Linked DNA regions of Cricetulus griseus. The protein of the gene in region 1 binds, or shares a complex with, the protein of each later gene. Links are inferred from orthologs where the notes say so. Each region holds a gene or a part of one and is shown on either strand. Other genes may lie near its edges.

Region 1 (14,878 bases):
AGTCCCTCATGGAACAGTGAGAGCAAAGCTAGGAGAACTCTTTCCATAACTGGAGATAGTCTCCCACCTCTTAGCCACTTAGAGTCTATGTCCATCTTCCTCTTTCTCCTCTTCAATGATTGATTTTGGATACTGGCATTGAAGCCTAAGGCTTCTGCATGCCCCCTGCCTGAGTTGCACTCCCAGCACACACCTTTTCTATTAAAAAGGGTGGGGGTGAGAGATTTTCCTAACAAATGTGTGTCTAACCATCATGCATTTCTCTGTGGGGTTTTGTTTTAAAAGGCTTTTGCCTTTTAGTGTTGCTATGAGGCTTGGTCCTGGAGTCAGTAGCTGGGACTCTGAAACAGGCAGTAGAGTAGTCTGTAGTAAGTAGACTTCAGTAAATTGACTTACTTCATGAAAGTCCTTACTGTTTACTTTTCAGAAGCTGGGGGGCTTCCAAGGTGACTGGAATAGAGTTGATGCTTGGAATTTGGCTTGCCTTCTCCCTCAAGGACAGACTCCAAGCCCCCAAACTGAGCTGTCCCTGAAGGCAGGGCCTTCCTGTTCTCACACTGGTAAAGGACCCTGAGATTCCAGCCAGGTGGGAGACCAGATGGCTGGCAGGTGGTCTGGAGTGGTCTACATGGCTGGCATGACATGTCCACCTTCACTGCTGGCAAATGGCCTTGTCATGTGATTCACATGCAGGCTGTCCTGCATTGTAGGTGGATTATATCTACTTATGGGTTTTAAATTCAAGTTTTTCTTACCTCAAAAGATAGGTTTGGTAAGCCCAGAAAATGTATCAAGAAGCAAAAATGAAAAATAAATTTTATGTTCACCATTTAAGAGGTTTTTTTATTATTTCATTGTTTCGCATTATTAATATCCCTTATTTGTATCTTTTTCCAGACCTGCATGTGCGCGCGCGCGCGTGTGTGTGTGTGTGTGTGTGTGTGTTGTGTGTGTGTGTGTGTGTGTGTGTGTTGAGGCTGTCAGCTGAATGCTCTAGAAGAGCACACAGGTTTTGTTCCCAGCCCTCACATAGTGTCTCACAACCATCCATTCAGTTGCCCTCTTCTGACCTTCACAGTCACACACTTGATAATACATATATGTAGGCAAAACAGCCACATATATGAAATAAAATACATTTATCTTAACAAAAATGAGGTTGTGTTATTTCATTTCCTGACTTTTTAGTGTTGAGTACTGATGTATTAAGAATGTCTTTTCAAGTCATAAAATATTCTTCCACAGCTTTCCTTTGGTATCTCTTTGTACAGATCTTTCATAATTCCTTTAAGTCCACATCTGATACAATTTTGAGACATTATAGAGTAAGACAGTTCTAAAATGATGTGACTGAGTTTTAAAAGGAACCTGTCAGGAGTTTATAATCGTCTTGTTTAATCTTGAATGAGTGACCTTGCCCAAGTGCCTGGAAGTTATGAAGTTGCCATCTGTCATTATGTTTCATGCTCTTATGTCTTCCACACACTGTCAGTTCTCAGGGCTATTCTAAATTAAGGACTAACTCTCAGGTTGTCTTTAGTATGGTAGTTAATCTATGTAAAAATAGTTGCCGGTCTTTTCACATTAATCTATTTGTAGACTTCATACATGTATTTGAGATCTGGCAGTTCTTGTATCTGTTTTTATTGAATCTTAGTATTATTTTGACATGACATTTTTTGAACACTTGTTTTTGCATTGTGCCCAGGCACACCCCCACCCCCCCACCCCTCCACCCCATACACGTCCATCCATGCTGCAGTGTGATTGTAAATCAGAGGACAGTTTGAGGGAGTCGTTCTCTCCTTCCACCATGTGGATCCTAGGGACTAGAACTCGGGTTGTCAGCCTTGGAGGCAAGTGCCTTACCCACTGAGCCATCCTGCTAGTCCCTTGATTTGACATTATAAAGTCTCTAAAGAGAAAGAGAATCTCTAGATACTAGAATGGTTATGAATGTTGAAATTGGAGGGAAACAGATATGGAAACGAGCCATTAACGTAGAACTTGAATCTCTCTTACTCTGGAAAAAGACAGCAATAGATGCACTTCTAAACATGGTTCTTGGCTCCAGTGTTGCCACCATCATCACTTTCTTTCATCTCTCATAAGATAATCAGTCTTGGGGAAGGGTATGTGTGACACATACATAACTGGAGTGTCTGTGTGAATGCCAAACCTCTTAGAAAATGCAGCCACCTTCCTGCCTCTCTGTTACTTATATGGCTCCTGTGGTCTAATCATTTATTTTTTTATTTTTTAATTAAATGATGGAAAAACAAAGAAATGGGTTCAGTATGTGACTGTAAACTTTGATGATATTGCCCCCCGACTCTTCCTGACAGCAGCATGAGTAGTCCTTTTATATTGTGGACCTTCTGCTGTGTGAAAATTTCCTTTTCATTTGAGCCAGGTGTGTTTTTACATCAAATTAGCCTTGTTCACTTATAAATGCATGCAGGGTGGCCTCTAATTCAGTGGGAATTTAAATTAATCCAAGAATAGGTACATAATTTTTCTGTGGGCATTATGTCAATATCTTCTGAATTATGTGGCAAAATGAATTACCTACTTTGCAGAGTAGAAAAATGACATTTCAGCCTGCGCCTGTGCATCCTGGCAGCCCACATAGCTCTGTGATGGGTGTTCAGCTCCCCGGCTCACATCTGGCAGCCTGCATAGCTCTCTGAGGGTTGTTCAGGTCCCCGGCTCATATCTGGACTACTGAGGATCCATGAATTGAGCTTAATGAGTCTGACTAAAGCAGGCTTTCTCCAAGTAGAGACATTATTTGGGGATTCCATCTTTGAAACTAGGAGGGTTTTTTTGTTTGTTTGAATTGTATATGAGGCATCAAGCATGTGTGTTTACATGTTCCCGTGTGTTTGCATATGCCAGTGGACAAGTGTGTGTAGGGGGAAGAGATTGAACACTTATTTGTTAAAGCAAGGTCTCTCACTTGAACCTTGAGCTTACTGATTCAGCTAGCCTAGGTAACCACCAAAGCCCTATTATGGCTTCCAAGTACTGAGATTATAGGTGGGCCACCAGTAGGTGCCTGGGGTCCGAACAACAGTCATTACATTTTCCTTGCTGCTGCATAGCAAGCACTTTCCCACTGAGCCATCTCCCTAGCCCCCAGGGGCTCTTTCTGAATGCTTTTTAGAACAGGGATTCAGAAAAGTCCACGAGCGCACAGTCACTGGGTTTGAGCAGCCAAAGGATTAAGAAAAACAATTTTAAGTAGTTAAAAAGGCCAGAAGAGTTTTGAATAAAATGAAGAATAAAACTCATAATCTAGTTGGGGATACTACTTCATTAAAGTAGCATTTTGTTGTTAAAATGGGTTTTGTGTTTAAAATATATGGGCATAGGAGACTAGGGTTGAAGCTTTTGTTTTTGTTTGTTGGACAAATTTCTTTTTAAAATGCCTATATGGGGGCTGGTAGATCAGTTTATAGAGCTTGCTTAGCATGCATGGAGGTGCTCTGGGTTTGAACCCAACATAAAAGAGGGTGGTGGTGTACCCCTATAATTTCAGCACTCTGAAGGTGGAGGCAGGAGGATTAGCAAGGTCATCTTTGGCTGCACAGAGAGTTTGAAGTCAGCCTGGGCTAGATGAAACCAGGCCAAAATACCATATATATATATATATATATATATATATATATTATATATATATATATTTAAGAAGGGACAAAATATATTTACAAAATATCTATTCTAAGGATGTCTGTAATTTCTTAAAAAAATCAACTCTAGTTATTTTATATTCCTGTTTGAGCTGGTTTACATTCCCTCTCATTATAACAATATTATGACAGGAATGTAGCTTCTATTCAGACCCAACTAGAATGGTGACAGATTGTTAAAAATGGCCACCGCAACACCATTCCGCCCCAGCAATCCCAGGGTTACAAAACAGAAATCCTTCTTGATGACCACTCCCCCATTTGGTCTTTTATTCTTTGGAGACCTGAGTCTGTCCTCTCTCCGGCTGATTATATAGTACAGGCAGATTGTATTGGGCATGGGGACTGGTTAAGGTAGGCAGGGCCAGAGAAGAACTCTACTCAGAACCACTTCCCTGCAGGACATGAATGGAAGATGAGTCTCCCCAGCTCCCTTCTGTGTGCCTGGAGCCTTCCAGTGCTTGCTGCCAGCTCTTGTTATATGTACTGCATTCTTAAAATTAATTTTGTTCTTGCTTTCCACATAAGCCTAATGGTGGTGAGAAGAATATTTTTCAAATCACCAATCTGCAGGGTAAAACAGTGTTTAGGATTTTAATTGCATGAGCAACAAATTCTCATATTACATTAACAAATGACTGCCTACGAGCTGATCATTGTTGTTGGGGACGCCGGATGGCTTAAGCCTACGGTGTTTTTCAAATGGAAAAAGCTATTTAAAAAAAAATCTGCACAGGAAACATGTAACTTAGACACTTCTTAGGCTTATCAAAAACCCCAACTTGGGAGGAATTAGGGAATGTGTCATTTGATATCCTATTTTCAGAATGTCTAAGAAACCATAGTCTGACTTAACCTGGAGAATTGCAGAGTTATGTATCTTTAGCAGTGAAATGCATATTTAATGCCATACATGGTGCATTGAGCCACTTATAAAATGCAGATAAGCTCAGATTTTCATTTTAGGAATCAGTTTTACCTAGCTCATTCTTTATGCATTAAACATTTTCCTACTACAACCTGCCATGGACAGCCCACACTGGACCGGTGTGACTTAGTCTTCTCAGAATGAGGTATCACACCTCCAGTGTTGAGGACAGGGCTGGGACTAAGATTAAGTAAGAGAACAAAATTGTAGGAGACACTCACAGGTCCCCACATGCATCTTAAGGGTTAGTGATTCTGAACTGTGGCACGCAGGGCCACTTCTCTGGCCCCTTCTAATCCTGGCTTTCCTTGAGTTCCTTTAAGGTACTTTGTTTAAAAAACCAAAAAAACGACAAAAACAACAAAACCACATAAAATGCTGGGTCATATCTTCAGTTTCCAGAAGCTGGGGTTTGGAGCAGGAGTCTTCTCAGAAAATCTAATGCATATCTAAGGTTTAGTACCCTCTGAGGCCCAACAGGGCAAAAGCAATTCAGCTAGCCTCAGGTAATGACCCACCTGGGATAGTAGCTTTCAAAAAGAAACAACAAAAAACCTACTCAGTTAACCAACACAGGAGCAAGTAGGCCAGCCAGAGCACAACACTCTGGCCTGGGCCAGCCATTATGTAACTGCTACCAGGTGTCATGCTAGAAGGCTTGGATCTTAGAGAACACTTGTCACTGAAGCAAAGAATAATTGATGGTGCGTGCTTGAGCTGTTCCAGTTTTTTAATTAAAAAGGTTTTATACATTCATTTTTGGCTCCATGCTCACTGTATGATGAAAAAGGTTAGAAGAGAAAAGTAGAAACAATCCATAAGCCTGATAGCCAGAGGCTATCATTATTAATGCCACAGGGTATCCTTTCAGTATTGAGGAATTATTTCTCTATTGTACCAACCCAAGAAAAGCCCATCTTAGGACATGATGGACCCAAGCAATGGTGAGTGACAAAAGAAGAAGGTCCAGCCAATGAACTTGAGATGTTTGAATCACGCCATCTCTACCACCTCTCTGTGGACTTCCCTACTCACTTGTTAGTGTCAGATTTTTAAACTCCATGTCTAGGCATGCATGTAGATTTCCTGTCTCTTGCTTCTCTGTTTTATGAATAAGGGTACTAGGTCTCCTGGTCAGGAAAGCCACAGTTTGGCTACTCTCCCAGTTATCTCCTTGTGGTATTGAACACTAATTCCCTTGGGTGGTCTCAAATTCATTCACCAGCTCTTATTGGGTGTCTACTGCCACCAGACCTACACCCTAGTCTAACATGCAGCTCTTGCCATTGAGAGTCTGATGGAGGAGGTGAAGCATGAGCTTGAAAAACAAAGTCCGGTGCTCCTTAGGGCCCCAGGATCAGGGATAGAGACCAACCAACTTGGCTTGGGAGAAGTGTGGGGTTCCTTACAAGTGGTAGTGACTTCTTGAGCTGAGTCCAGAGAGACTCACCGTATGGCTACTGCAGTTTCCAGCAAAATAGCATTCTCCTAAGAGTTCACTGTTGTTTTATGTCCTACTTTTTGACCTGATCCTACGGTTGCCTGTGATAATTAAATGAAACTTGCCAGATGGATGCTTTTGCAAGACGATGGCTCGTCTTCTTGCTCTATTTGTGAAATCTGGCATTAGATCCAAATTCTCAAGGGTGCTTCTACCTTGAGGATGGCTTTGGGAGGGTAGTGGCTCTTTTTGTGGTATTTGCCAAATGTCCTGCCATCAGCAGGAACAGGTTGAGTGACAGGTGGGTGTGTCATGCATGTGGACACTGATCCCTGCCAACCCATCTTGCTTCCAAGGAGGTGGCGTGCTGAGCAATGACTCTCAGAGATGTCATTCAACATTGCTACTGCCTTTGGGAAAATGAAGTCCTTCAGCTTCTGACCTGCCAGTCTTTGCGTCTCTCATCTATTGCTCTTATTAGTTTGCATGTAATTGATGTTGAAATTCCACTACTTCCGGTTAAAACACATGCTCGCGTGCGTACACACACACACACTGTCACACTGTCACACTGTCTTAAAGCAGAAATTTTCAGAACATTAAAGGGAGAATGAAGGGTGGTAAATATTGTCCACTTAATCATAGCCAGCTTGCTTATTTGGGGAGCATAGTAGTCCAATAGAAAACAACCAAATCAGTAATAATAATAACAATAATAATAATAATAATAATTATTATTATTATTATTATTATTAATGCATTATTACATGCCTGTATGTCATTCTTGGTTCTTTAAGAGATATTTATGACATTTGCATATATGTGTGTCTTTGGGGGGCTGCAGTGTGTGCCATGTGCCACAGCATGCTTGTGAAGGTAAGACTGTGAGTACCACAACTGTGGATCCCAGGAACCAAACTTAGATAGTCAGGATTGGTGGCAATCTTCTTTACCTGCTGGGACATCTCAACAGCCTTCATTCTTAGTTCTTTGCATGCTCCGTCACATTTACTCAACACCCTGCAAGATGGTCACCATTGTTCCCTTTCTATAAATGAAGAAGTAGAGTCAAGAGGGGGATTTGGAAGCGTAATCAGTTTGCACTGTCCATTACATCCCTGCCTTGCTGCTTCTGAAGTCTCCAGTGGTTCAGGTGGCCATCTCTACCTGCATGATGCTGACTGTTAACTGGTTCACCCTCAAAGGGCTGGAAGCCTTCAAGTATGATGCTATCAGAACTGTGCCGTACAAGTTCATCTTCCTTTCACTTGAGAAATAATTTCAAGAATTTGAAATTGTTGAATATCAATTGATTATTGTAGTTACACAGGACTGTCAAATTAGTCTTCCTGCTGGTATAATTTATGTTTTTGCTGATTACTCTCAGGCTATAGATAATATGTATGAACAAAACGTCGTGGCAGGTTTCTTCCTGTTTTCTGTCCAAGTGTTGTGTGAAATAAAGGTTTAGATGCTCGTACTGCCATTCACTATCCAGTTTTAGCTTTCCTGTAAGTATAGCAATCCACCTCTTATCAGCACCATCTCTTGCACTTCCTAAAAGGAGAATGTAGCTTCTATTTTTTTGCAACAATTCCTGATTTCAGCCATTCCAGTGTCCATAATTTAACATGACGTGTCTGGGCAGGTAGAGTGACTTGAACTCCTATTGTCAAGGAATCTAGTTGAGAATGCTGATTTTTGACCTGAAGCAGAAACCAGCCAGGTTGGTCTTGGCAGCCTGTGGTATGTAGAGTTCTTCAGGATCCCTATGCCTTCAGGTAGATAGGGGTCCATGCAGGGCTGGACAGTGTACCTCCTGAGCCCTCCAACCACCTTCAGATGTCTTCCATCACTAGTTTGGGTGAGCAGCAAGTCAGGTTCCTCAGTGGCCTCTGGAAGGATCTAGGGATGGTATAAGAAAGAATGAGACAATCATCAGGGTTGTTTAGCAGACTGACATAGCTATTTCTCTTCCTGCAGCAAAGCCAGAAATCCTGACGTCTGACAGGCTCGCGAATGGTATGCTCCAGTGTGTGGCAGCGGGATTCCCAGAGCCCACAATAGATTGGTATTTTTGTACGGGAACAGAGCAAAGGTGAGAGGATTATTTTTGGCACTGCTTAAAATTCAGAAGGGAAGGGCTATAATTCAATTGCATTTCAAATGTGTTTTCAGACTTACTATTTATTTATATTTTTTTTAGAATAAAAAGCTGCATTTTGATAATTTCTTTTTCTCCTATATCTTTGTGGCTTTTTAAGAAGGGATAATGGCTATATTTTTCTTGGTCGACATTAATTTTGTTTGCTGAAAAATGATTACTGAATGCCTTCTCTATTTTGGTAGTTATCTTTTTGGGTTTATCGTGCAATTTCTAGCCTGCAGGTAGATAAAGCAATTTCCCAGGGCAGAGTAATTAGATTTCCATTCTATACACAGGAGGCAATGTGTGTGGGAAATGTGGCTGCAGTTATCATGAAAAAAATTACCTCAGAAGTTAATTGCCAAGTAACCAAAAGTAATGATCGCACAATTACAACATACATATGGCGTTTGTGAGCAATGGGTTTGAAAAAGTGTTTCTCCTTGATTAGGTGCCCAGCCCCTGAAAAAGGAACATCTGCCATTGTGTGGCTTTCCCTCGACGTCCACACTTAAGCCTTAAATTGTCCTCTTGAATTACCTGAAGATGAAAACAGGGTCAATGTGCCATTTTTACACATCAAACACCGTGTTATACTCCAGTTTCAAAAGCTTAGTTTGGCCTCATGGATAGTCAGAATGGCGGTGGAAATCTTATTTTACATGGAAGACATTTTATGACAACACGTTAGGATGTTGGCTTGTTGTTTTGGTGTGGGTTTCACCAGAATGTTTTGTTTGGGGGGTACATAAAACCTCTGAATGCTGTGCCTTCCATGACATGGCCTGAGTAGATATCTTGCGCTCAGCAAAATGTTTACATGGAAGCCAACTGTGTGCCAGATGCTTGTCTAGTGTACACCATGCTCGGCTGTACCCACATCTCTGCCTGGGTGTATCTGAATTCTAGTGGGCATAGAAGAGATAGCAGACAAGATGAGCAATTGATTGGTATGTGTAGGTGTTTAGAAGGCAATGGAAAAGAGGTGTTCAGAGACTGTTTCCTGGAGATCCTTGCAGCCAGAGTGGTCATCACACACATGGCATGTGCTCCCATCTCCGAACCTAACTTTTTGAGTTTTTTGTTTTGTTTTGTTTTCAGGCTTGTTGATTTCCTGCAATTTCCTCTTCTACACACTTTATCTTCAACCATCACTCATGCTTTCCAGATTTGTTTCTAAAAGTCTGTGGTACAGTGGCGTTTAGTGCCAGCAGCCATTTGAGTCCATTCCTTTCACCTACCCTTGAGATGGTACAGCCACAGAAACCTAGCAGTGAAGAGTTGACAGAACCTGGCAAAAGTCACCAGGTCGGGCACTTGGAGTCAGGGCACAGGTCCATGTCCAACCTCTAAACCATTGCTCCCTTTCTGGTTTCCTTCAGTACTTTCCTCACTTAGAGGTCCCCAGGGGGCTCATTCTCCTTGGGCCATCCTGACCTGATGGCTGGGAAAGGGAGTTTTTATTGAGCCTGAGTTTCTAGTCATACAAATGTGCCAGATCAAAGTGTCACATGCTTTTATTTGGTTTCCTGGTATAAGCCCACACTGTCGATCTCTTATTGTAGGTGTGCCGTTCCCGTCCCACCAGTGGATGTACAGATCCAGAACGCTTCTGTGTCACCATTTGGAAAACTAGTGGTTCAGAGTTCCATAGACTCCAGTGTCTTGCGGCACAACGGCACAGTGGAGTGTAAGGCCTACAACGATGTGGGCAAGAGTTCCGCCTTCTTTAACTTTGCATTTAAAGGTAACAACAAAGGTATATTTCCTTTTGATCCAATTTAAGGGGATATTTAGGCTCTGTGTACCATACCATGATCTTAACTCCATTCCAATATTGGCCATAACATTTCTGGTAATGCCTACATCACACTGTGCTGTCATCAAACTCACAAACTCTCATTCCATACTAGTCTGCTGATGAAGTTTTGATTTTATCAATGTAATATTAGCCATTTTGCTTTACTTGTTCTCTTTGTGTTTGTCCGAGCTTCTCGACAAGTTACATGTGTGCAGTTATAGTTGAGTAAGGGAACCTTCCTTCATTCTACTCAAGTATAATTAGGAAACTTTAAAAAGTTTAAATTCACTGGATGTGGTGGGTGGTGCACAACCTTTAAGCCCAGCACTCAGGAGGCAGAGGCTGGTGGATCTCCATGAGTTTGAGGCCAGCCTGGTCTACAAAGCGAGTTCCAGGGCAGCCAGGGTTACACAGAGAAACCCTGTTTTGAGAAACATAAGTAAAAATAAATAAATAAATTCTATTTATGACTTTAGTTATTTAAGATGAGTTACATTTTCTTAAATATCTGTGTCAAAATATCTTGTCAGCCAATAGTTTTTCCCCAATTTTATTTGTGTGTGTGTTTGTACATGTGTGTGTAGACATGCTTGTGCACCTGCACTGTCAGAATCGTACAGAGCATGTGCATGCTATGTGGATGGCCTTCTGTGGGCTGTACTCCTTGTCCAGCCAGTTCTTTAGGTTCTGCTTCCTGAGTGACTAGCAGGCCACATGACCCTTGAAGGCACTGATGAATGGGCATATATGAGACAAGGAAACTGGGCATCTGAGTTTGCTTTTAGTGCCCAGTTTCTGTGGTGTCCAGCATTGGCCATAGGGCTCATGCCAAAAAGCTGCATGACCTCAGCCTTTGGATAAGGAAGAGCAGAGGCCTAACACTGCTCTCTGTATTGTTACTTTTCCCAGACAGAGCAATGAAAAGGACACCTCGAAAATGCCTTTCCTCTCTGCCAAAGGCATTGATGTTCAGGGTAGAAAGTATAAGAGAGCAGGAAGAAAATGCAAAGCACCCAGAAAGGAAGTTCATTCAGATGTTGCTTTTTACTGAAACAGCATAACATTATGTGTATGCTACAGAAAGTTCGTTTTCTTTGTAATCTGGTTTTAACTTACATCTCTGGAGATGCCTGCACGTCCAGTGAGGTGTGAGGTGTGAGTGTGGTGCAGTGTCAGAGCACTTACCCAAGTTTCATCCCTAGCACATAGTAAAATAAATAATAATAATAATAATAGTAATTAATAATGAAAGAAAGAGAGGAAGGAATGATGCGTTTGAATACCAAGAGTAAGATGTGTTCCCTGCATGCGCCATGAGAGAAGTTCAGTTTGGGACAGGTGGTGGTGGCCAGGCTGTTGTCCTGCAAACGGCTCACAATCACAATTCTCTTCCCTTGCAGAGCAAATCCAGCCCCACACCCTGTTCACACCACTGCTCATTGGTTTTGTGATCACAGCTGGCTTGATGGGCATTATTGTGATGGTTCTCGCCTACAAATATTTACAGGTGACTGTTGATTTCCTCCCTCTCCCCCGGATGCCGCAATGACCGAGGCTTTGATTGTTAAGCGGTGACATGTCTTTCCCTTTCTCCTCCAGAAACCCATGTATGAAGTACAATGGAAGGTTGTCGAGGAGATAAATGGAAACAATTATGTTTACATAGACCCAACACAACTTCCTTATGATCACAAATGGGAGTTTCCCAGAAACAGACTGAGTTTTGGTCAGTATGAAGCTGGGGCTTTCCACGTAGCTTTTTTTTGGTGTGTGTGTACACATAACAATGATTTTAAGGAACCTTCAGTGGCTTCCTTTGTCTTGTTTCACCTGAAACAAGAAGTGCCTTCTGTCAAATGTTACAAAAGTTGGCTGGGTTAGCAAAAGGAAGACTATAGTGAAGTTTCTCCAGACTCATTCTCCTTGAGTTGCCTTGTTGGTTTTGGAACCGTCACAATTGTCCACCGGGTCTTTCCGCTGACCTTGTCTTCCTTTCTAAAGGGAAGACGTTGGGTGCCGGTGCCTTCGGGAAGGTTGTTGAGGCCACTGCATATGGCTTGATTAAGTCAGATGCTGCCATGACGGTTGCTGTGAAGATGCTCAAACGTAAGTGTCCAGAGCGTCCACTACCTGCCCCCACCACCAGTTTGCCTTGTGGGTTTTTCTTTTCTTCATTTTGCTAAAATACATTGTTTTCCATTTTAGCAAGTGCCCATTTAACGGAAAGAGAGGCCCTCATGTCAGAACTGAAGGTCCTGAGCTACCTGGGCAATCACATGAATATCGTGAATCTCCTTGGAGCATGCACCGTGGGAGGTGAGTCTTGTGTCTACAGCACCTGTTGCTGTCTGTCGGGCTATCAAAATATGATTTGGACAGTGCTTAATTATAAGCTGTTTGGGAGTTGTTGTTGTTGTTTTTTCCAGTATTTTGTTCTGTTTTCCTTTCCTCAGCATTCCTAAGAATGTAGTTTTTTCGTTTTTTTGTTTCAGATTCCTGTCCTTTTGTTACTTTGAGATGAGGGCTATAGTTGCCACACTATGTTGTAGAAAATTGGGATTACTCCCCACAAGTGTGTTTTGGTGCCCATTACTCAGCCTCCCATTCCCCTCCCACTCGACAGTCCTAAGGACCTCTATCCAGCTCTCTGCAGATCAACATCTTAACTCCCACAAATGTGTGGCAACACGCAGGATGTTTCTTTGTATAGAGCCACTCACACCCTCCTTTGCTCATTATACATTGCATGCATGTATTGAATTATAATACCCTCCCCCTTTAACAGGTACAGGGATATAGCTTTTGGCTGTATCATCCCAAGGGTTGGGGGGATAGCCAGGTATATGCAACTTATTCTCATGGATGCTACATCATCATGGGCTCTTCTCTGGCTTGGCTCACCCAGAAGGCTTTCCTAATCTTAAAGCTTTAGATATTGCTGGGTCATAATTAATCACTCAGGAGTTAATGTTCTGTAGCAGAAAGTAGCCCTGAGCCTCCCACTTCTCAAATGTACCCCAAACAGAGCAAGCTTTTCACTTCCATTAAAAAGGAAGCTTTCAATTCGAACCCTTTAGTCAGTGTTCCCATTGAGGGCGTCTTGATGTTTGCAGGAGGCATTTTGTTCTAAAGGAACAAAGGTGTGTGGATTGAGCTGTTGCTGTCTGTCCAGAGAGAGCCACGAGACAGCAGACAGGTTTCGACAGTGTCTCAAAACAGCCCCCGTAACTGGTGCTTCATCAGGTCATGAATTGTTCATGAGGCAGTTTCTACCCACAGTAATTAGTTCCCTGTTAACTTGGAACAGTGCTTTTAAACATTCAGAGCACCAACTCTCTTTTCAACTAGTAATGTCAGCAAAACGGGTCGTTTCAGGTTCTTCGCCCACTTTCCAGACCGAGCTTAGCTGACTGTTCCATGTGGTTGATTCCCTACCAGGCTACAGCTCGGGCTCTTCATTTTCATAATAACATTACAGCAAGGACACAGAAACCTGCTGAACACAGAAGTGCATCAAAGGGTCCCTGTAGGAAGCTTGATCATGGTAGAACCTTTGAAAGCAGTCACTCGTGGCCGCAAAGCCAGCAGTCACTTCTGGTTCCTAATGTTCGTGTCACTTAGACATCCAGGTAGAAAGGGGCTTGCTTGTTTTATTTCACTCAACACAATGCTGCTTTCTTTGATAAGTGATGTTAATAGATAGAATCATGTTGGGACTAAGAAGGCTTAGCCACTGAAGCAGAACGTTAGTAGCCGTGGTCACCCTTGGGTATTTCTACAGGAGGCAGGATTATCTATAGTGTATCTTGCGTCTTCCTAACATTTTATTATATCCTCATAGGGCCCACCCTGGTCATTACAGAATATTGTTGCTATGGTGATCTCTTGAATTTTTTGAGAAGAAAACGTGATTCATTTATTTTCTCGAAGCAAGAAGATCAGGCAGAAGCGGCACTTTATAAGAACCTCCTGCATTCAAAGGAGACTTCCTGGTAAGGCTGATTTACATAAATAGTCAGCTGTTGACAGGCAGTTTGTGGGGTCATAAGGGTTTGCAATCAAGGCTGATTCTTTAAAGAAATGAACTAAGGTACTCTGAGGTGTGAAGCCAGATTATTAAATTATTTAAATGTGATTCACTATTTCAAAAGTTCAGATAGTACCCTTGAAGATTCAAATTGAGATTGTTGCTGATTTCTTTTAATGCGTGTTTCTGTTCTTCCCTAAGCCTGGGTTCTGTGGAACCAAATGTGTTTTCTACCTGTTTTCTTTTTACTGTGGGTCCATTCTTGTGTTTCTATTTATGCTCCTGAGCTTGGGCCTGTAGACATCTTCATAGGAGAATTATTTATAGGGCAGAGGGTAAAACCTGTCATGAGGCCACAGTTAAGTCTTGGGGACGGAGTAGAATGGCCAAGAGCACTGAGCATATTTCCATATGTATAGACTTCTTGTCATCAGCATTGTTTTTGTGTCCCTGCCATGCCCCCTCACTTTATTGTGTTATAAAGACATCATTATTAAAGAACAATGTTTGAATTCTGCACCTCTTTGACACTGGTCTTGAAAGATGATGATGCAAAGAATGATGTATATGCAGCTTCAAGTTCCTTGGAGAAAAACTAGTTTGATGTATAAACAGAATAGAAATCTCTGCCGTGGTTTGTGTCTCCTTCTCAAATGTGGTTGAGATCCACCATAGAAAAAGTCTTCCAAGGTCCACTCAGTCCAATGGAAACCATATTCACTCCCTAGCCCTCATATTTTATACCGCTGCAGTTGTGTGGTAGATTTTACCTCTTTTCATGTTTACTCTAAGTCCTGGCTTAGAATCCCAGCACCAGAAACTAAAATAATGAAATTCTATAGG
Region 2 (15,522 bases), on another chromosome or scaffold:
TCAGTTTTCTCAGCCTCCCCTGCCCCAGCTCTGTCCTCTAGGTGATGCCTGGTCTCCCTTGCCTGCCTTTAACAAGGAGCAAGAACAGTTGGCTTAGCTAGAATCCCAGCTGCCGGTGAAGTAATTTTGCATCCACTGCCCACAGATGCTCTGCAGCTGTGTATCCCCAACGACCTAGTAAATACCATGTGTTTGGAATTGAGCCTATACTGTGCTCCCTTTCTGAATAAAACTCACTTACCATTTGCTAATAATATGTGTACCCTCCAAGTTCATATGTTGAAATCCTTCTGATATCAGCAAGTGAAGTGTTGGGAGAGAGATGATGAGACCGGAAGGGGCCTTCTTGAATGGAATTAATGCCCTGATAAAGGAGTCCTCGGGGAGTTCCTCAGCCTTGTCTTTGCACATGGCTCTCCACGAACCAGGAAGTGGTTTCTATGCAACCTTCACTTATTGACATCTTAATCTTGGGCACTGAGCTTTTGGAACTGTGAGCGCTAAATGTTTGTGGCTCATGGACAACATGGTTTACAGTGTTTTGTGATAACTATGCAAACAGACTGACACAGCTTGAATTACAGTTGGCTTCTGACCTTCTTTAACGTAAAACATTAGGCTTTTCTTGTTGTTTGTTTTGTTTTAAGATGGAGTGTCAGTATGTTTCAAAGGCTGATCTTGAACTTCTGGGCTTAAGCAAACCTGCTTCAGCCTTGTGAGTAGCTGAGACTATGGGCAAGAATCCGTAAAACATGATTAAATTTGTCAGAATCTGGTATTTGTAAGTGAGACTTTAAACATGCCTTGAGATAAATAACAAAATATATCTCACAAGTATGTGTTATAAAGTTTGTTAAAGAGTGACTATAAGCAACTCAAAAGTTTGGCAAGCTTGATGACAGTTACTTAATTAGTTCCATATATGATACACAAATAAATTACCCACACAGATTCTCACTCACAAATTGACAATGCTTTTTCTAAGCACATCTGGGAATTTTGCGAACAGAAATAATAAAAAAACCACTATAAAACAAATTTATTGTCAGTCTTTTCTTTCCTACCATGCATTTGCCGTCACTCAAAGCTAGCATTTTCATGTTTATGTCTTAGAAAACAAATGCACTGGCATCATTAAATCATTCATTTATCCAACAATGAATTGCTGTTATCCCCGCCTCACATACTATGTGCCCAGGACTAGGAAGTTCTGAGGAATGGTAAAGCCTCTGTCCTTCTGAATTTGAAGGGCTCAGAACATAATGGTGTTTAATAGGTAATCACGTAAGAAAGCACACAGCTACATTCACAGGAAAGTTTCTATAGGAGTAATATGATAGTTTTAATTTATTAAAGATTTATAATATGCTCACTTTGTGTTAAGTATGCTGTATAATACTTAGTTCTATTACCAACCCTGTGAGATGAGAGCCATTGTAAGTGATGATAGATTTCTACAACCTAACCATGGCCAACAATGTCTGAGGCCTGGATGGTTAGTGCTTGCCTCTGATTTTTGTCAACTTGTATCATCCAGTGTTAGAGAAGATCTGGGTTAGTTTATGGGAGAAAATGATCATATTACTCACTCCCCACCATTCCTTAGGTGCTATGTGACCATTCTGGCCTGCCTGCCTGCCACAAGCATTCTCTTGTGGCTCAGGGCACAATACTCTAAATTTATGACACCTTAATATGCTGTGGACTTTGGACTGAGGGTGTGTGGAAAGGCCCGAGCTCAAGTTATTTCTGCTTTCCCATCTCCTGTCCTATCTCTACCCTCAAATGAACCATAGAAACCAGACTCTGTTCTCATGGTGAGTCACAGAAACTGGAATCTCCCTTCCTCAAAGCAAGCCATAAATGTGAAAAGATTACTTTCTCCCTTCTCCTTGATTCTGGGAAGACCCCTATCCCAGAGGGATAAGTATAAAGGAATGCCACACAGAAAGACTCAAGAAGGGGATAAAAAACAGACCTTTCTCTGGCTTTCTCTGGGTCAGTCTGTTACCCGTACCTCAGTCCTTTTGGCCCAGTCACATTTCTGAATACACAATTCCATCTACTCCTAATGGCACTGAAGCACAGAAATAGTTTTTCTTTGCATCTCTGAGTCCATATCTTGAAGCTTCCCCATGCCATATAAAACCTCAATTAAGTAAACATGTCATGCTTATTGCTTATTGCCCTGATATTTTTTCAACAGAATGTCATCCAGGACCTTTCTCTTTTTAAAAAATTTATTTAGCTTATTTATTTTATGTGCATTAGTGTGATGGTGTCATCAAGGCCTATCTGATATATCCCTCCTCGCCTCTACCTATATCTTCTCTTTTCCTTTCCAAAGCACAGGTATTTTATTGTACTTGAAGAAAATGAAGGACCTTGGATATTTTCTCTCATATGGTCATTGGGGCTCTTAGTGGTATATTTTAATCTCTATTTTGTTTTGCTTTGAATAAAGTTTTATTTTATTTTTTTAATCTTTTTTTTAGCTTTTCTGTATTTGTTTTTCTACTTATGTGCATATGTGTGTATCTGTGTGCAAGTGTAGGCACTCAAGGAGTCTGGAAGATGATGCCAGATTTCCTGGAGCTGGAGTTACAGGCAAATTGTAAGCAACCTGATGTGGTTCTGGAAACTGAACTCAGGGTAGTCTGTCAGAGCAGAGAGTGCTTTTAACTGCTGAGCCAAAGCTCCAGCCCCTCCTTACTACAAAGAAAGCCAGATAGCTACCATGAGAAAGATCTGGATGTATCTTGTGACCCAGAATGTAAGATGTTAGTCACTAAATTAAAATAATAGCCATAGCAACATTAATATCATAGGGCAAGTAATTGTAGAGATAACAGCTTCTAAATATACTGTTGATATCTCTGCTTGGCAGAACCTCAAGCCTCTTGTTGTCTATAGACCTCTCCTTGGCAATCCACCACCCTGCCTGTCTATAACAACTCAGTATTTCTTTGGGTGACATCTTTATCCTACCTACACCCAGTACAGCCAAGATACATGTGCAAATGGGAAATTTCATTTAAATTCTATATGTACATTTTATAGCAACTAATGTTTATTATTTGTAGTTTTAGATAGATAGTTGATAATATGATTCCTTATGACTTTTTCAGATGTCCTTACTGTTATTTTGTCCTCCCCTCCTTCTTCTGTATTTCTCTCTTTTCCTCTCCCTAAATAGAGTTTCCCTCTTTCCCATTCCCTTCTTCAGATGATTTGTACAGTTCTATTCCCCTCTCTAGTGTCTCCCCCAGCCCAATGGTCCCCTTTTACTTTCCTGGTTTCTGTAGTTATTCTAGGTTACATTCGCACGTCTGAAGATTTGGAGCTAGGAGCCCCAGATGAGAGGGAACATTTAACATTTGTCTTTCTGGACATGGGTTACCTCACTCAACATAGTGTTTTCTAGTTCCACCCAAATCTCATGACTTCAGCTTTCTTTTTTTCTTTACAGCTTAATAGTACTCCATAGTGTATATGGACCACATTTTCATTACTCATTCACCAAGTAAAGGGCATTTAAGTTGTTTCCATTTCCTAGTGTATTAGTCAAGTTTCTTTTTGTATTAATTTTTATTTAAAAAACTATTTTTCATTTTACATACCAACCCCAGTTTTTCCTCCCTCCCCTCCCCCCTCTTCCCTCCTTACATCCCCCATCCACTCCTTAGAGGAGGTAAGGCCTTCCTTGGGGAGTCCAAAGTGTGGCATACCAAGCTGAGGGAGGACCAATCTCCCCCCACCCCTGTATCAAGGCTGAGCAAGGTATTCCAGCATAGGAAATGGTCTCTAAAAAGCCAGCTTATGCACCTGGGATAGGTCCTAGTACCAGAGTCACATAACTGTCATTCACTTTCTTTAGTTCAGTGGTTTTCAACCTCCCTAATGTATTGACACTTTAATACAGTTCCTCCCCAACCATAAAACTATTCTGTTACTGTTTCATAACTGTAGTTTTGCTACTGTTACAAATCATAATGTAAATATCTGATGTACAGGATATATGATATGTGACCCCTGTGAAAGGGTCTTTTGATGCTGAAGGGGTTGCAACCCATAGGTTGAGAATCACTGCTCTAGAGTAACAGAACTTACAGAATTAATCTCTCTCTGTATCTAAAACATACATATATATATGGGATTTATTAGAATGACTTATAGGCTGTGGTCCAGCTAATCCAACAATGGCTGACTATGAACGGGAAGTTCAAGAATCTAGAAGTTGCTCAGTCCACATGGCTGGATGCCTCAATTTGTCTTCAGTTGACCCTGGAATCTCAAAGAAGTAGGCTCTAATTCCAGTGAAGGTACAGACTTGCTTGCAGGGCAAGGGTAAACAGGCAAAGAGCAAAGACTTCCTTCTGACATGTCCTTTTATGTGTTTCCTGCAGAAAGCGTGACCCAGATTAAAGGTGTCATCCTACCTTCAAAATCTGGATTAGATCTTCCCACTATTTTGGGGTTCTGATTAATTTCAGATGTAGTCAAGTTGACAACCAAGAATAGCCATCACACCTAGCTATTGTGAATAGAGCAGCAACGAACATGGCAGAGCAAGTATCTATGGAGTAGGTCGTCAAGTTCTTTGGGCAAATGTCAAGGCCAATCAATAACTCCCACTTTTTGAAGGTAGAAACTCATTAAAACTAAGTAACTAGTCTATGTTTATATATTTCTTCAAACTGTCCACGCTGTAACATGGTCCAGGGTCTCGGCCATGTACATTGCTGCTGAGGGCTATTGATGTCTATTGCTTGTTGATAGTTTCCTGCCCCTAAAGCAGATGAGGAAACACCCTTAGCAGGGCTACAGACTGAAAAGCTCCCTTCCACTTAGTCACTATTACTTGCTTTGTAATTTAATTTCAGTCTATGTTCTGTTACTCACTGAAAAACAGATATCTGACTTCAACTTAAGTTGGAGTGGGTTTGGTGGCTCAAGACTAAGGAGGCTATCTTGGGGATGGCCAGAGAGGGAGGGAGATAAGAAAGATAATAAGAAGTGAGTTACATTTCAACCAGGGCACCAGTAGTGATGGTGTTCATTAATCCGTTCAAGTAACACTGCGAATGCCAGTGGTTAGTCTGGTAAACAACACATCGCCAAATGGCAACTGCAATGCCATCCCATTGTAAAAACCGATTTAACACACTTCCTATTACTTACCCAGATTTTGTGTTTAGATGAACATCTTCTACTGAACCTGAATATTTCTAGAAACTAATGTTAATTAAATTTTGAACTTAACTGTTATTTTCTTAAATATTCAATATTTCTTAACATAGTCAATAATACATAACAGGCCTGGAGTTTACACTTGAAGCTCTTTTAAGTCGTCTTCTGTTCCCCAGCCTTATTTCTTTGTATATTTTCTTTTAAAAATGAAACACTTTAAAAGCTCACACTAATTCTAAGATAGATTTTTAACAACATGTATCCCCCCCCTTTCTTGAGATGTTAATATTTTCTTCAACTGCTCACCATTTACAGGAAAAATAAATTCCCATTGGCCTACTTATAAACAGTATCAAATTTTTCTGGGTCTGCTGCACATTAAAAGCATATTGTGTTAATTTGTGAAAAAGAGAGTTAAGTTGCCAAAGCCTAAGTGTATACACACACACACACACACACACACACACACACACACACACACACACACACACACACACACACCTCTATTAATTCCAGGAATTCCACTGAAAATGACTCTACAGAAGGTAGATGACTTGAAAGAAGGGCTAAACCTAGTTTTCTTAGGCTGTCCTTAAGACCAAGCGGGAGTAGGTACGTGGAAGGCTTTCCCACTTGTGGCTCAGCCTGGACAGGAGGCGGCCTTGAAGTCCTGGAGAAGAGAAGAGCATGCTCGCACCCTTTAAGGAGCAATCGCCTCTGAGGACTCAGAACGGCCGGGCTGCCCGCTCTGGAGAGGGGCGGAGCCGCTGGCACCCGCGGTTATGGCCCCGCCCACTGAGTCCCCCCTCACCCCGACGCCCCGCCTACCGGGCTGTGCCGAGGGCGCGGGCGGCCCGGGCTGCTGTGCGGCCGCTCCGCTCCCGCCTGGGCCGCGGCCGCGCGCCCTCCCTTCGGGGAGGAGGAAGAGGAGGAAGGAGGAGCGGCTTGAGGAGGGCCGAGCGCGGCAGTCGCTCCCGCCGCCGCCGCCGGGAGGAAGCGGAGCCGGCGGCCGCAGGGTGAGCGGCGTGGGGCTGGGAGGGAGGGGGGGTGGTGGCGCGGGGTCGCGTGCGGCGGCGGAGGGAGGGGGAGCCAGGCCCCGCCCGCTCGGCCCACGCGGGCCGCGCCGCCTTTGTTGCCCGCGGCGCGGTGTGCGAGGCCGGCTCGGCGAGGCCTGGGCGGCGGGGCCTGCGGGCCGGGCCGGTCGGGGCTCCCGGAGCGGGACCGGGGAATCGTCGCGGCCCGGACGGCCCCGGGGGTGGCGTCCAGGGGACGAGATGCCGAGTGGAGCCGGGACCGGTGGCCGCGCGCGAGGGCCGGCGGAAGGGCCGCGCGCGGGAGGAGGGCCGAGGCATTTAAACTGCCCTGATCCCGCACAGGCCCGCCCGCCTTTGCTCCCGGAGTTGGCAACTTCAGGTACACACACCATTGTGGCTCCTGAGCGCCACTGTTGATGTTTCCCGGGGCAGAGTCTGGCCCCAAACTTGGGAGAGTTGTGTGTACCAACTTAGTGTGTAGTCAGAACGCGATTTGGGGTTCTCATTCGTCCCCACTTTTTTGTAATTGGAGGCCGGTGAGACGGAGGTGGAACTCGGGCTTCCGGTAGGGAGCTAATGTTGAATTCTTGAAGGTCTCACTAAGGCAGCATGCTGCTGCTGCTGTGTGTGCCCGAGGACTGTGCAGTATGCTAATTACAATTATAATGTGAATGGAACACGGGAGAGACCTCCCCAAGTACAGTCTTAATTTATAGTGTTCCCTGGGATAAAGATAAACTTGTAACTGAACAGAGGTAAACTCCTGCCTACGCAAAGGTGAAATACCAGCCATAGTAGGTAGCGGTTTACTTTAAACTCACCAAATCCCACAGTGGAATCCGTGTAGTTTTACTTGAATGAATGAATTTCACTTGGAATTCTCAGTGCTGTGAAGGCAGTGGAAAACACGAGTGGTATTGCTTAAAGGCTTCACGGGTAAAATGCAGAAGAGCTAGCATATAATCTGACTTTTCTGCACTGATTTCTCTCCAGTGCTTCGTGTATGGATGTGGGAAGAAGTTTTAGGGTCTATCCCTGCCTCAGGAAAGTAGGTCATCTTAACCTTTTGGTTCCACCACTCTCCCTAACCCTTGTTTATTTGAGGACATGACTTCTGGACAGTGGGCTTCATGAGGGATGTGGGAGCGTTTATTATGCAGGGTTGGACCAGGTCAAGATCTACCAAGTTATTTACCTGAACCTCTAGCTTCTCTATGGCTCCATTTAGCATCTCTTTAAAGACACTGCTCTTGTTTGCTTTTATCTTTTAAGACATTCTCTGAATTGGTGCCTGGCCCTGCTCCTTTCCCTTCTGACCATGGAACTAAAACACTGTCTCCCTCAGGGAGTCATCCGAGTGCCCTCCCTTGTTAGGACACCTGCAGGGAGTGGCAAGGCAGGGATTTGGGTGCCAGCCGAAGCACAGGGTGTGGTGTGGAAAAGTGCTGCTGTACCAACTGGATTCCAAGCCATTTACCTTTCCATGTTCTTCTCCAGTCTTGCTTTAGAACGGAGACGCTGTTGTTTTTAAGAGCTGTCTTTTCAGAGAACAGAAACCAAGTGCCTTCATGACCTTCTTGTGTAACTTCATCCTTAGAGAAAACTCTGCTATTTTTGCCACTGTGGACAGTTGTAAGAAACTCTGTGTTAGCCTCTTGTTTTGCTTGCAGGGGGTAATTGTGTGATCTTACTTAAAAAGTTCTGAGGTATGCTGAAAGGAGGCAAAGCTTTTATGTCCATTTCTGAGTTCTTGATGGTCACTGTCACTCTCAAGAAAATGTGTTCACAAGAAACAGAATGATACATGTGTGTACGACATTGGTTTTGTGCTGCTTCTCTTCTGACCTCTTGAAGTTACAGAGATAGCATTGATGTCTGAGGGTACCTGCATACTTTTGTAAAATTATCATTTTCATGAGGAATCAGCTTTCTTAACCTGGCTATCTTGTTGATATCTGAATGACTATAAGATTTCACTTTCCAGACTGCACACAGAGGACGTGACAAGTGTTAGGGTGTTCATTCAATAGCACTGTGACCTTGAACAGGCTTTGGATCTTCTGAGTCTTAGTCCTCAAGTGGATCTAAATCCATCTCACAGTTATAGTAAATATATATTTTATTTGAAGTACATCCAAACTCTTAATTGGGCTACAGGGTTTTGCATAGGTTGTTTACACTATGTCTTATACAATAGTCGTACCCTGGCCTTCCATTCCTCAGTATCCCAGGCTGCTTTCCAGAGCCCAGCCCTGATACACTGCTTTTGTTGACTGTCAGTGTCCACCAGTGGCTACTTGTGCGAGAGATTTATTCCTAGGCCTTACAGCCAATGTCCACACCTCAGAGAATCTTCCTAAGTACTTTGAAGTAACAAATTGACACATTTCCTTTAGACATGGTTGTTTAAGTATTCTATTCTCTCCTTTTTGCTCTGTTAGTATCCAGGTTCCATGAGGTAGTATGCCTGCCATGGTCTTTTTTCCCTTTGTGTTCCCAGCACATGGAACTTGGCTACTTTCCCCTTTGTGTCTTTAACATATCCTGTGGAACTTGCACACTGAGCAGGGACCTGGTATTCAAAAAAGTATGTGTAGTTCTCATCACATGACAGAAAGAGGCTTGCTGTGTAGATAGATATTAGGTAGCCTTTGGTATTGTGAGTTGTTTGTCATTGTCCAAGCTGATCTGTTCAAATGAATAAATCAAAACACTAATAAAATAAAAAACCTTGTATTCACATGACTTAAACAGCCCTTCACTGTTTCCCTGTGGAGCCATAACGTGTAAGTTACTCATGAACCAAACCGACTGCCTCACTTTCATAAGTGGTTATTTGTCAGTGTGGAAAGTAACTATTCTGGGGCATATTTCCTCACTGTTCCTTTACATAGCCTAGTGAAGTCAAGCCTCAGTTATCTGGAACCTCTTGGCAGCCTTAGATTTCAGCAGAGAGTCAAGCAAGAAGGAAAAACCAATTTGTAATTAGACATGCCAGACACTTAGACTGATTGCAGCAGTCTTTCTCTGAAATACAAATCTAGATTGAATTTTAACACTTTGATTTTGTATAATTGCTTTTCAAAAAGTTTTATTTGTAAAGTTTCTAAAAGGTGAGATGAAAAATTAAGACAGTGCATGTGACTAGGTTGATGCTTAGAATATAGCAAGTGATAATAGTAATAACTAATTTAAAATGTGCTTGGGCTGGTCAAAAGGAATATGTTGTGGAAGCAGCAATGTCTCTGTGTGATGCAGATATTCTTGCTAAAGAAGGGCAATATGGGAAAAGAGTGTAAGATGCAGTGGTAAGAGAAATGGTCAGGATGCAAAGCAACTGGTAGTATGCAAGTTGCTGGGACATATGTGTGTGTGTGTGGGGGATGGGCACTGGTCACAGTGTGCATGCAGTGGAGCTTGACTGTGGGCTCAGTACTCTTAGATATGTGAGTCCTTTCTGAAGTTCCTTGACATGTGGTTTGAAGCTGTCTTCCTCTTTATAGCCACCACACTAAAGTATTGTCTTAAAATTATTGAAAAGGTTTTGAAGACAGTTTATCCATTTTTCCACAGCCAACTTTTGGACATTAGAGAAGAAAAGAAAGAAATGATGGCATGTAAGAGGTCACTGAGGACCTTTGTGACAGTATGAACTTGTATTTAAACTACCTTCTTACAAAGGCATAGGATTGTGTGGCTCCTATTATATAAAAGATTTTTTAAAGAATTTTAATTTTAATTTACTATGTATACAGTATGCTGTCTGCATATTTGCCTGCATTCCAGAAGTCATCAGATTTCTTTATAGATGTTGTGAGCCACCATGTGGTTGCTGGGATTGAACTCAGGACCTCTGGTAGACCAGCCAGTGCTCTTAACCTCTGAGCCATCTCTCCAGTCCCTAGATAAATTTTTGGGTGTTTTTTTTTTTTGTTTTTTGAGACAGGGTTTCTCTAGCCGTGGAGCCCATCCTGAACTTGCTCAGTAGACCAGGCTGGCCTTGAACTCACAGAGATCTGCCTGTATATGCCTCCCAAGTGCTGGGACTAAAGTTATGTGCCTGATAAAAGGTTTTTTAATAAAGAAATTAATCATTTAGTTTTGATCTTTATAATTCCACAGACAAGCTTGGTTTACTAAGTGCTTCAGAGAGCCAGTCTTTGCTGTTGACCTTATTCAGACCTTAGTGTCAGAAGTGTCAAATAGTTGAATCAACAGGGTTAACACACTGAGATGAAGATACATTCTCATTGGTGGATGTACTACTTTGCATGTGTGTTACTTTCCTTGTGCAAACTTTGTTTTGATATTTATAATACATTATTCTAAAAGTTTAGCTTTGGGTTGTTTTTTGTTTGTCTTTTTTATTTTCTTCAGACAAGGTTTCTCTGTGTAACCTGTCCTGGAATTTACTTTGTAGACTAGGCTGGTCTCCAGCTCACAGAGGTCCACCTGCTTCTGCCTCTTGAATGCTGGGATTAAAGGCATGTGTCACCACGCCCAGCAAGCTTTGTTTTCAATGAGTACTTGTCCTTTGGCATCCCTTTCATTGGGGGAAAAACATATTTAGGGAATAATGTTACTAAATATCACAGACTGGCAAAATTTATAAACAAGAAGGAAGTCTCAGGATTTTTGTGCTTTTATACATCTGTAAAACTGTTGTAATTTCAGGCTACAGGAAGTTCAACAGAGTATAATCAGACTTCATTCTTTTACAGATGTGTAAATAAATAAGTAAATAAATTCAGACATGTGTTTATGCAGTTAGCCTAGTTATATGCCAGTTCTGTAGGGGATTTCAACATGAGATCTCATGCACATAGCTCTTCTTGATATTGATACAAGTGGCTAGGCATTTGTACTTCCATCTTCACGGACAATTGTTTGGTTTTGGCTAGGGGCGATACAGAAGCGGGGACAAAAAGAGCCCACTCGTCAGTCTGGAACTCACACCTGTAGAAACTTCCTGAAAAGTGAGGAGGTAGTACTTTACTGGTTTTGGCTTGTGTGCTAGAAAATGCTTGCTCAAGTATTTGGTTTATAGTTTGGCTGAATTTAAGGTACAGCTTAAATTTACTCAGGAGAAATAGGTTATGTTTCACTGATTAACCCTAAAATCTCAGCTATGAAGGGTAATGGTTGGCTTTTTGCTTTCCTGGATTTTGGAGGGGTGGGATCCTTGTAATTTCTCTTGGATCTGTCAGCTCCTCTGCAATTGCTGTCCTGTGAATCCAGGCAAGTGGAGAATAACAGATTGATGCACTGTTAATCCACTTCCCAGAATCCATCATTTGGTTTTGCAAGAATGCCAGGGAATGTGCAAGATTCAAGGACAGAGCCACTGAACTGTTGGAGGTTTGAAAGCAATGCCATTGACACCTGGCCTTCACTGTTACCTTGGGCCAGCTACCACTTGTTTATAGCAGATCTCTGTCTCTAGAAAGTTTTTGTATTATCTATTAATTACTAAAGCTTCACAGTGGTATGTCTCATCATTATTCTTCTATTCTTAGAATGTAATATTCCATTGATTTTTTTTAACTTAAAAGACTTTAAACTTTGCTTTGCAATTTCTTCCCCCTCCTTTTTGTGATTTTTCTTTTAACCTGGATTGATTTGTTTATTAGTTATTTTCTCATGTCAATCTTTTGGGGGTGTTTTTGTTGTATTTAAATGTTTCACAATGGATTTTGGTTTTCTTACCCTCCTGTACCCCTTTAAAAAAATAACCTTGGACTTGTTTCAAATCTGTGATATTTTCTCAGGCCTGTTTCTTCTTGTCTTCCCTTCTAGAAGGATTGAATTTACTTACTTGTTTTTTCCAGTGCTGGATCTGGACAGCAGGACTTGGCATATACTCGGCTGGTGCACTGTCACTGAGCTGCCACGGTGCTGGGAGCTGCAGCTCAGGCTTGTCTACCCCAGTTAACATTGTTCTCACTGGTCATACTTTCCCTTTGCTTTCAGGGTTCCATTGTGTGGGGGGAATGGTAGTATGCTTGTCAGATTGTTGTCAACTGGACACAAGCTACAGTTATTTGGGAAGAGGAACTCTAAATTGAGAAAATGCCTCCCTGAGGTTTGCCTGTAGGTAAGTCTGTAGTATATTTTCTTGATGAATGATTGATGTGGGAGAGCCCAGCTCTTTCGGGACACTGACAGCTCTGGTCAGGTGATTCTGGTTGACAAAAGAAAGAAGACTGAACAAGCCATGAGGAGCACTGGTAAGCAGTGTTTCTTCATGGCTTCTGTTCAGCTTTTTCATGGTCGTGCCCTGACTTCTCTCTGTGATGATAGACTGTTATCAGAATATGTAATCTAGATAAACCTTTTCTTCCCTAAGATGCTTTTGGTCATAGTGTTTTATCATAGGAATAGAAACCCCGGCCAAGACAGGTAGCAGTTAACATGTATGCTCATTCTTGTTGATAGTGATTTTTGTTGCTGATTGTTGTTTTGAGATAGTTTTGCTGTGTTGCCAAGCAGAAACTTACTATGTTGTCAAAGCTGGCCTCACACCCCCATTCTTGTGCCTCAACCTTTCAAGTGATAGGATTATAGGCCTGTGCCACACATTCTGCTCAAAAACCATACGGTTAATCAATCATGACTTCACACAAAACTAGCAGCTAACTGGCTGCTTCCTCCCTTCCCCATCCCTTTTCTTCCTTGTGTTAAAGCTCAAACTCAGACCTTAGTTATCCAAGTTAGGCAAGCAAATACTTTACCACATTCTGCATCTCCTGCCCAAAGCCTCTTGATCTAAGTTTTAAATTGTATTATTTAGGAGAGGTCAATGTGTGGACATGTCGAGATCAGATGACAACTTATAGGAGTTGGTACTCGGCTTTGACTGTTCGGATTCTGGGGATTGAAACTCAGGTCATCAGACTTGGCAGTGTCAGTATCCCTACCTGTTGATCCAACTCACTAGCCCAATTTAGATCATTTTAGTAAGTGTAGAGACGCCGCTGGGCATGGTGATATATACTTTTATTCCCAGCACTCAGGAGGCAGAGGCAGGCAGATCTCTGTGAGTTCGAGGCCAGCCTGGTCTACAGATCGAATTCCAGGACAGCCATGACAGTTACACAGAGAAATCCTTTCTCTAAAAACTATTCCCCCCCACCAAAAAAAAAAAAAAAAAAAAAAATGGAAAGAGACCTCATCTTTGGGAGTGCTCAGTAATTGATTATTTTAAATAAATTATTAGTTTACAAAGCAAGCAGTCTTTTTGTGAGATTGTTAATTTTATTTTTTATTTATTTATTTTTATTTATTTTATTTTGCCTAATAGGGTTGTATTTAAATGATTATTACTTTATTGATGGATAAAGTTTACACTGGCTCTATGTAGATTTAATAGTAATCTTATGTGAATTACTTTGTATACCTCAAATCTGTTATTCTAAAATCTCATTCTCAATTTAAGTATAATTCAGAAAATACGATTTTTTTTACCACAAAGCTTATAACTTATGGCAGAAATAACAACAAGTATTATATGTTCTATATGCATTTGAATGATGTATTATTTTTTCTTTTCTTTTTGAATTGGAGCTTCTGTGTTAAGATCTGTAGACTACAGCAGTTTGTTACTTTTCTGTCATATTTGTATTTCAGTGTTTCAGAATCTGAGTTAAGTGCCAGGTGGTCATAGTGGCAGTGGTGGTGATTGCGTTTAATCCCAGCACTTGGGAGGCAGAGACAGGCAGATCTCTGAGAGTTCAAGACCAGCCTGGTCTACATAGCTAGTTCCAGTACAGCCAAGGCTATACAGAGAAACCCTGTCTCGGAAGGAAAAAAACAAAAAACAAAAAGAACCTCAGTTAAACTTTTTTACTGTAATAGTTCAGTTCATTGAAGAGATTTTTATTTATGAGCAAATTATATTACATCTCTGGAGAAAATACAAAGTCTTGGACAAATCACCTGGTAGCATTATTTTGCTGTACTACTTCTGCTCTAGAATCAAAACAAGCTGGCAAAATACAGATCTTTGGATTTTATGTAATTGTTCAGTTTGTCCAAAAATCTTAAAGAACATTATCTACTTGACAGCTTAACCAGAAAGGTTGTACTTATTGTAGCAATGGTGAGCATTTTGGAGTATGTGTGATGTTTCAGTTAAAACCATTCTGTTGACATTTATTAAAATGCTAGTTGATTTTAACTTTCAACTGTCAGTTATGACAATGTATCAATGAATCCTGTTAAGTTACATTTATAACAGAGGACAGGCTTTATTATATAACTTGTCACTGAGTATTACAATAAATCTTTTCAAATAGCTATAACTGTGCCTTAGTCAATAAAGTGGGTTTGTGGGAATCACTAGGATTTGAACGTAAGGTGGGTAGCATAGCACATGATTTCCCTTTATCAGTATTGCCCTGGTGCCACTGGGTTATAGTTGAGGAAACAATTTGTTGATATGTCTGATAGTTGTTTTGTAGATGACCTGGCCCAGGTAGATAGGTGTGTTAGTTACACGTATTTTCAGTATAATCACCAATTCTCCAGCGTGAAAACTGGTGGCTTCCATTGTGACACTGTCCAGAGTAGTACAGATCCCACAGGTAGGAGCTTAGTTCATAGACTTCCCCTGTTCAGATGCCAGCTTGAAGTCCTGGCCAGATCTGCTTTCTTGCTGACTGGCCATTAAGTCAGAGGTTCCTACAATGACCTCTTCTGATGAGATAATTTGTAGAACTTAGTAAAAAACTTAGTTGGCTGATTTACTATAAGGATTGTGTGCCAGGAACAGCTGAGGAGAAAGGCTGCATGGGATGGGGTGTTGGGTGTGATTTGCAGCTCCAGTGCCCTCGTAGTATGCCCTGCTCTCCAGGTACTTGTTGGTGATCTAGTTAAAGAGTGTTTATAGTGCCCAATCAGTTTCTAAACTCATCCCTTCCCTCTATGGTGTAGGGCTGGGGCTAAAAGTTCCCCCTCTGTAATCTAAGTCACTTCATTAGTTTAAACTCTGGTGTGATTGAAAGTCTCCTGCCAGATCTAGGAAGATACTTTCATCACTCAGTAGATTGTAAGGTTTGGCATAGCTGTGTCAGGTACTTGAGACAAAGACCAAGTTCATAATATATTATACATGCTTTGAATTAGGAAGTGGCAACTCAGGTGTACAATGGGCGTAATAGATTTAAATGTTCATATATACCGAAAGACAGCACTGAGTTGGTAGATTGTGTAGTACCTTGCCTTTTTTATTTTTATTTATTTATTTATTTGAGACAGGGTTTCTCTGTATTGTTTTGGAGACTGTCGTGGAAATCACTCC

The links.
Region 2: the proteins of Kit (region 1) and Socs6 are in contact, whole or in part, in a crystal structure (PDB 2VIF), measured with the Homo sapiens proteins. The link is inferred for Cricetulus griseus from reciprocal best matches to the Homo sapiens genes KIT and SOCS6. Residues at the interface, in NP_000213.1 of Homo sapiens: Asn566, Asn567, Tyr568, Val569, Tyr570, Ile571, Asp572, Pro573, Thr574; in NP_004223.2 of Homo sapiens: Arg391, Glu395, Arg409, Asp410, Ser411, Ser412, Asp413, Ser419, Phe422, Thr428, Leu429, His430, Thr431, Arg432, Phe442, Tyr443, Glu444, Gln445, Val448, His460, Asp464, Ala469, Phe470, Cys471, Tyr472, Ser473, Arg474, Ser475, Arg476, Thr482.

The regions. Positions count from the first base shown.
Region 1 is NW_023276807.1:142,117,267-142,132,144, forward strand, and holds part of Kit (mast/stem cell growth factor receptor Kit), read left to right. Parts: intron 1-8,044; coding exon 8,045-8,159; intron 8,160-9,772; coding exon 9,773-9,966; intron 9,967-11,408; coding exon 11,409-11,515; intron 11,516-11,607; coding exon 11,608-11,734; intron 11,735-12,009; coding exon 12,010-12,114; intron 12,115-12,213; coding exon 12,214-12,324; intron 12,325-13,849; coding exon 13,850-14,000; intron 14,001-14,878. UniProt on the Homo sapiens protein: Tyrosine-protein kinase that acts as a cell-surface receptor for the cytokine KITLG/SCF and plays an essential role in the regulation of cell survival and proliferation, hematopoiesis, stem cell maintenance, gametogenesis, mast cell development, migration and function, and in melanogenesis.
Region 2 is NC_048595.1:227,440,860-227,456,381, forward strand, and holds the start of Socs6 (suppressor of cytokine signaling 6), read left to right. Parts: upstream 1-6,020; 5' UTR 6,021-6,206; intron 6,207-12,194; exon of another isoform or gene 12,195-12,318; intron 12,319-15,522. UniProt on the Homo sapiens protein: SOCS family proteins form part of a classical negative feedback system that regulates cytokine signal transduction.